2 linked regions of the Coturnix japonica genome follow. The protein of the gene in region 1 interacts with the protein of each later gene in a biochemical or structural test. Links are inferred from orthologs where the notes say so. Each region holds a gene or a part of one and is shown on either strand. Other genes may lie near its edges.

Region 1 (4,127 bases):
AGTCTTCAAAGAGAAAATGAATAGTTTAATAAAGCAGTTAAAGAGGAGAGCTCTGTTACACAACAGTCATGCTGAAGTACAGGCTACGTGTGCTTCCATTTATTTTTAATTTAGAGTTCTAGTCAATGGCGTGTTGAGTTGTAATATGTAGAACTCAAAGAAACTTTTAAACAAGGACACACGGATTACGTATGGATTACACTAAGAACTTCCCAAAGCAGGTGCAGAATTGTTTGCCTTCCAAAAATAAAGAATCAGTCCTGTCCAAAATTACCAGGAGGCTTTTGCACTACACATGCTCATGCAGTTTAGTTTGCTTTCCCCAACAGATTACATCAGTTCTAACAGTTTCTGAAGCTGTACCTACACCTGAGTGCTCACTGTGCTGTTGTCATTCCACTCCTCGCTCTGAGCCTGCAGTGAAGACACTCTGCTTGGTGCAGGACAGAGCAATAATGTCAGATACAAATCCACATCTCCCTAATTTGGGAGAAGCTGAGCCCAGTGAGCTGGTTAACATGAGTGGGCAGCGAACACAATACTAACACTACTGTCAAGTTATTTCCTGTACTGACACAAAGACGATAAATATATTGTCTCTTCCTAACTCTCTGTCAGCTCCCAATGACTTGACCTAATGAGTTCCCAAAAGCTAAAAGTATCTTCACAAGACAGCCGCAGAAACAAAAATGTAAGCAGAGGGAAAACAGGGACAGAAAAAAAGTCACTTTCAGGGAACAAGAAAAAACAAGGTCCTTGTTTCTTCATACAGAAACTTCTTTCGTTTGTTTTTCATTTTACTTGATAACTGCATTACAGACATATCACTCATAGCTACATTTCTTTCAAATTCCAACAGTGCTGTAAGATAAAGCTGAGACTACTTCCAGAGTGCAAAACAAGCACTAGAGGACTGGCCCAACAGCATGACTATGGACAGCAGATCCAGGGGAGCAGAGGGCCCTCTCCCCACCATCTCACTCCCACTGGCAGCACTGGGCAAGCATGCCTGAGCCCCAGCTCCCAGCACCCACAGTGCTTAAAGAGGCTGCCCAGAGAAGTAATGGATGTCCCAACCCCCCCAGGCAGCCTGATCTGGTGGGTGGCAGCCCTGCTCACAGCAGGGGGTTGGAGTTCAGTGATCTTTAAGGTCCCTCCCAACCTAAGCCATTCTACGATTCTGATGACACGCTCTATTTCCCACCAGCCTGGTCTATTTGTGGCTTATTTTGGCCAGTCAGCTCTGTGGATTTCAGGGTGGGTTTCTTTTCCTGTGGCAACTGCCACAGCACGCTTTCAGCCTGCTGATTCTTGAAGTTTTAGCACATTAATGCAGTCCTGGTGTTCCCAATTTAGCTCTGTGCCCTTCACACTGGCTTTGTCCCTGCTTTCCAGCTGATTTCCTCACTGCACCAGTTCCTACTTGTTCATTGCTCTTTTCAGCTGCCCCTTACAAAGAGTGTGGCCTGGCAGGGCCAAGGCTCCAGCCTCACCTGGCACAAGCTCACAGCTGTCACAGGGAAGTATTGGCTCCCCGAGCTCAGCCTGGTGGCCCCACGACCTGACTGACTGGTTCCTGAGCAACTGGTGGTGTCACTCCCCACCAGCAGCCGGCCACCACTCCACAACCACCTTCCAGGGCAAGCACCACTCCAAGGCTCCCACCCTGGAATTGTCCCAGCACAGGAACTTGGCTGCCAGAACACTGCATTTCCAGTGGGTGCCAAGGGATCACTCCTGCACTGAGCAGAGGGACATTTGGAAAGGTCAATCAAGGACAAAGGAACAACTCGAGCTCCAAAATAACACATTCCAGAAGTAGGATAAAAAAAAATAACAGGGAGACTAGAAGATGAATAAAGAAGACAGGTTAACGCAATGCCCGTGCGGCTGGTGTGTTTTTCCATGGGAGCTTTTGTTTTCTCACACATATTCCACCAGCACAGGGATAAAAATAACATGACCACAATGACGTCTCTCTAGCAAAAGGAATGACTTATGGGTGCAGGCCGAAAGTTAAGGTTTCCTCTTTGCCCCCAATTTGAAACCTTTGCCAGCCAATCAGAGGCTTGCCAAAATAATCAGCGAAAACATCTCTTCCTAAAAACCAGAGTGCAACGGGCTCCCAGGGCGCGGGGAGAGCTTGTGGAAAATAGGGCAGATGGCACCGCAACTCGCAGCAAAGTATAACTCCTCGCTCGCACCGCTAACCGCGGAGCACGGCGATGGGGGATCAGCGCAAAGCTCATTAGCCCGCAGACAGCTGGCAGCAGCACCCGTCCGGGAGCAGCGGGAGCTCACGCCGGGCTGCCGCCTTTCCAGCTCGCCTTAAGCCCCAACAGCGCCCATGGCCGGGATGGGGCTCAGCATCAGAGCCGTCCGTCCGTCCCGCCGGAAGCACCCGATGTACGGAGCGTCCATCCCGACCCCAGACCGGGCAGCGGGAGGAAAGTTGCACGCCCTGCCGTCGCCTCTCCCCTCCGCTCCTCTCCCCAACGCCCTCGCCCGGTAGCGGGGCCCCCGCCTGCCTCCACGCCCGGGTCGCGGGGAAGGGGCCGCCTACCTGGGGGCTCCGCTCCGCCGGGTTCTTCATCACCGCCTGGCGGAAGCTGTTATCCACGTAGGACGCCATCGCGCCTCGCTCAGCCGGCGCGGCGGCCGCTCCCGCCCGGCTCGGAAGGGCGGGACGGCAGAAGAGAGGAGTGCCGGCGGCGGCCTGGAGCTGCGGCCCGAGGAGAGCGGAGGGAGGCGGCGCGGGGACCCCGGCGGCACTTGTGCTCAGCAGCGCCGCCGCCCGGATTAGGCCGCGGCCGAGCCCCGGAGGCGCGGGGGCTCCCGGCGGGCTGGGGGCGCCCGGCGGAGGCGGCTGCGCGCTCCCGCTCTACCCGGCGCTGCGCCTCCCGCCGGCTCGATCCGCCGCATCCCCACGGGCGCCTCCGCCGCCTCCCATCGGAGCTGCTGGGGCTCCGCGCCCGTCTCGGAGACGGGGAAGTTGCTGGCTCGGGGAGGCGGGGCCGAGGCGGGCCGGCCGGGGCGGGGTTGGGGCGGACCGCGGGGGGCCTCGGGCGGCGGGGGGCTGCCGGCTCCGCGCCCGGTGCTTTGTGCGCGATGCCGGCCCCGGCTCGCCCTCCGCTGCGGCCGCTCTCGGCACCGACAGGTCTACCCGTGTCCCGCCTGTCCCAGGCTGCGGGATGATGGCAGAAGCAGCGCCCGAGCGCGGCTGGCGAGGTCAGCGCCTGGGCCCGAGCTGGATTGCGCCAAAGCGGGGCTGAACTGATCCCGGCTGCACGCCAGCCAGCCCGGGAAGCCAGCTCCAAAACTCCACGTCCATCGTTTGAGAGGCTGATATCCTAAAAAGGAGGGCTCAGTAGTCCCGAGGGATGTGCGGCAAAAGAGACAACAGCTTCGGAGACACGTCTGGTGCTCACGGCCTCCAAGCTGGGTGCTGAAGCCCCACCAGCTGGCTGGGGTGGCCAGCAGCTTTGGCCAGGCCACCTGTTGCCATTTGTCCCATCACTGACCCTCACTGACCCACTACCCCACACAGGCAAGAAGGGGACCAAGGAAAGGAGCACCGTGGCACCAAACCAGCATCTTCTGGGGCTGCCGAGTGGCCCTTTCACCTAAGCATGGTCAGTAAAGAGCAGTGATCTCGTCCCATGGCTGGTACTGTTTGTTACTTGACATGAACACACCACAAAAGCAGCCCAGCAACACTAAGCACGGAACAGCTATTAAGGTGTCATTAATGGCAATGTAAAACTGTTGCTGTGTTTCCTTCCATAAACAATGTCTACCTTGCACTGATACGTATCACGCAGTGTAAATAATACTGACATCAGGAAATCTGACTGAATTGATTTTCACTCGCTGAAATAGATTTACATTTGATCATAAGGAAGGTCTTATAACGTTTATTTTTATGTCTTTGTGAAAATGTATGGACATTAGTATTAAGAATGTTTTTTTTCTCTCTTATATGGCATACACTTCTGGTCTCAGGAGACACAACCTTATGCTTTTAGACACAGATGACCCTCTTACTGGCCATGTCTTCAAACAGTATCCTTCTAAACCTCTCGAAACTCTATATTTAGTTCATCAACAAAGATAACTCTTTGGGTTAA
Region 2 (3,388 bases), on another chromosome or scaffold:
AAACAAGGAAAACTGTGCAGATAGATCCATGTTTGGAAATGGGCTCAGTAAATCAGTGGCTTACCAGAGGAGGAACTGTGATGGGATGTCTGCTTGAGCAGCCAGATGTAGCAGGAATGTGAAAAGCAAATACTTTCAAAACCAACAGCCAATACTATGCAACACGACAAGTGATACAGTGGGGCATATCCACATTCAGAATAGCAGCAGTTGTTATCTTTAAAACGTGTAGAAGTTTATCTAAGAGTCATCCAGGTCACTCGGGACCCTCTGCTATCCATGCTCCCTGGAGGTGTTTAAAAACCATCTGGATGTGGTGCTCAGGGCCGTGATTTAGCAGAGGGCTGTTAGAATAGTATGGTCAGGTTGTGGTTGGACTCAATGATCTTTAAGGTCTTTTCCAACCTGAGCAATTCTATGATTCTACTCTACAAGGCATTCATGTAGAAGTGAGAAAGACAAGGTGCAGCTCATACTTACCTCATTAACATTGATTTTAGACTTTGCAGACGATTCTAGAAAGGCACAGTTACACCACTGTCTTGCTAAGTTTTGACCCTGTTCTTTGCCGACTACACGTTCTTCCTCCAGGTCACATTTATTGCCAACCAGAATCATTGGAACCTGGAGAAGGGATGAGCAAGAGGACGAGATGTGTCAGCAACATAATATACAACACCTACTGCCCAAGCAGTGCTGTCAATGAAATGCAGCTATGTGGTCCCAGAGCCCCAGCACACGGCCATCTGCCCATCACATCACAGTGCATATTGCATCACTGATGTATTTTATGCACAGATAAAAGGGCATTCACTACAAATAGCACTGAAACCATCATTAATAATGACTCGCTGATAATAACTGAAGTTTCTAATTAACGAGCCCTTGGCAGCTCAGCTCCCAAAAGGAGCTTCCAATAAATGCCACATTAAAATACACATTTGGTGCATTTTCAGTGTATTCAGCCTATATCCACAATGCAGACACAAGAAGTCATTTGCTCCACAGCACAGTGATGGCCGTCAGCCCCTCTCCTTCAGCAGCTGTTTCCCTTTGCTATACACACGTAGAAAAAACCCCAAACCCAAAGAGCTGCTGCTGGTGGGTGTGTGCCTCGCTCCATTTCCTGAAGCATTTCATTCTTTGAGCAGAAAATGAGTACTCTCCAGCTGGGAAATAAATCACCATCCACTTCCTTTGATAATTTCCAACACACTATACGCTTTCTAATCCACTTGAAAGTATTTGCAGTCTCTCCCTCTCATTCAGCTGCACTCAAGATTAATTTTTGTCTTTAAAACAGCCGTATTGAGCAGAAAACGACGGCACTTTTATGCTTAAGAAGTAAATTTTACTTCTTACATCAGAAAGCTGAAGGCACAAAACCCCCCTCAAAAGATCATTTCACATTAAGGCCAGGCTGGATGGGGGCAGCGAGAAACCTGGGCTAATGGAAGTGTCTCTGCCTGTAACAGGGGGTTGGGAACAGATGACCTTGCAGGTCCCTTCCAACCCAAACCCTTCTATGATTCACAACCATCTCAGCCCAATGCTCTCTCTTACACTCTCTCCTTCTGAACATGTTCAGCAAATAAAAGAAGGAAATGAAAATGAGAAATGATAGGGGGGAAAAAAAAGTGCTACTTAGTTGATTAATGGGACAGGTTTGAAAGATTCCAAACTTTTTATAAGGTTATTTCAGGATACAGTAATCAATGTGGAGCAGAAAAGGGAAGTAGAACAACTTGCTCTATCACTTCCTGTGTCATGTGAAGACTGGATTTAAACACAGACTAAGGTTAATGGTTTAAGTGCTGGGATGTTAAAAGCTGTGCCCTGAAACTTAAAAATGGAAGCCCAAAACTGAGCATGAAAGTTGAAGAGGTTCTGAGCCTTGGGTTGAACAAATAGGCTGGATGTGGCTCTGGGCAGCCTGGTTTGGTGGTTGGCAACCCTGCACACAGCAGGGGCATGAAACCAGATGATTATTGTGGTCCTTTTCAACCCAGGCCATTCTATGATTCTATGTGCCACCCCCTGGCACAACACCATAAATCCATTTTAGTGACTGAATCATTATTGGCAAATGTAACAGTGATTTCTCTTTAGTCTGAAGGAAATGAAGTCCTGCTAATGCACAGTGAAAGAGGAAAACACCAACACTAAAAAAGACTCCCACCATTTTGCTATCACTCCCCATCCAGACTGTCAGCTTTCCAGCAAACTCGAGATGTTGTTTTTAATGTCACAAACACTGCAGAGGGAACTCCAGCACAAAACTTGGCTGTGCAGCAATGAGTATTCCTAGAAAGACATTCTGCTCACGTACAAATTTCCACGTGCTTCATTCGGAAGATATGCTATTCATTTACAAAACCAGACAATGTTGTACTTACATCTTCAGTGTCCTTCACCCGTAAGATCTGTTCCCGTAGGTCCTGTAGGTCGTTAAACGTGGACTGTGCTGTTATTGAATATACTAGTGCAAACCCTTGGCCGTTCTTCATATAGAGATCCCTCATTGCTGTGAATTGCTCCTGGAGTCAAGGAAAAAGGAATGGCATTAATGCAGCTGATGGATGTTTGTGATGGAATAGCTTTGCTGTATGGAGATAAGGAGGTGCCAATTAGAAAAAGGGGTTACACTTACTGTCCCTGCTGTATCCAGGATTTCAAGCATACACTGTTGACAGTCTACCTCCACTTGCTGGGGAAAAAGAGAAAGAAACAGTTAAAAGTAAAGCCTCCAAAATGAGGCAGAAGAGAGGAATCTCAGCTTCATTTTTCACTTCTGCAACAGAGAGTTCTGCAGTACAGCACCTTCCCAGCACCATGAGAGGCTCTGCTATCAGAGCTCAGTGACACCCCCAGCTGGCACATGGGGCAGCTCCCTTGTACCTCTGCTCACGCTCAGGCCTATCAAACCTTTCACCATCTAAGAAATGCCTCTGACTCCCCGTGGGTAATTCTACGAAAGCTGAATAAATCTTAACAGCAGAGCTCAGAATTTATGCTTAATTATTGCAGGCATGAAGGCTGCAAGTTTTGTTTTCTGTTTTGGTGTCTTTAATTATGGCAACAATTATGCTAATCTGCTAAACAATGGGTTCCTTGACATCAATCCCAGAGAAGAAAGCAGCACTGTTAATAGAGCTGCATAACACCAGGGTCAGGGATCCTGACAAGGACTTCTGCTCAGCCCTGCGTGCAAAGCAGCTGCAGAGACTTTGTATGTGCCTTCAAACTAAGCAGAATAACACCAAGAGAAAGCAACAAAGACATCAGAGATCTAAAAGTTGTGCGAGCAACAGAGGTTAAGTTCTCCTATTAAATAGAGGTAAAAACAGCCAATTTAACAGCACCATTGGCCCTTTTCTTATTATTCAGC

The links.
Region 2: the proteins of RAPGEF2 (region 1) and RAP1A form a complex in vitro, tested with the Homo sapiens proteins (2 studies listed by BioGRID and IntAct, with this or other methods). The link is inferred for Coturnix japonica from reciprocal best matches to the Homo sapiens genes RAPGEF2 and RAP1A.

What each region holds. Positions count from the first base shown.
Region 1 is NC_029519.1:19,462,952-19,467,078, reverse strand, and holds the start of RAPGEF2 (rap guanine nucleotide exchange factor 2), read right to left. Parts: upstream 2,643-4,127; 5' UTR 2,633-2,642; coding exon 2,564-2,632; intron 1-2,563. Other genes in the region: translation initiation factor IF-2-like, read right to left, coding at 2,643-3,350, 3,458-3,505. UniProt on the Homo sapiens protein: Functions as a guanine nucleotide exchange factor (GEF), which activates Rap and Ras family of small GTPases by exchanging bound GDP for free GTP in a cAMP-dependent manner.
Region 2 is NC_029541.1:3,384,641-3,388,028, reverse strand, and holds part of RAP1A (ras-related protein Rap-1A), read right to left. Parts: intron 2,708-3,388; coding exon 2,651-2,707; intron 2,538-2,650; coding exon 2,397-2,537; intron 625-2,396; coding exon 481-624; intron 1-480. UniProt on the Homo sapiens protein: Counteracts the mitogenic function of Ras, at least partly because it can interact with Ras GAPs and RAF in a competitive manner. Together with ITGB1BP1, regulates KRIT1 localization to microtubules and membranes.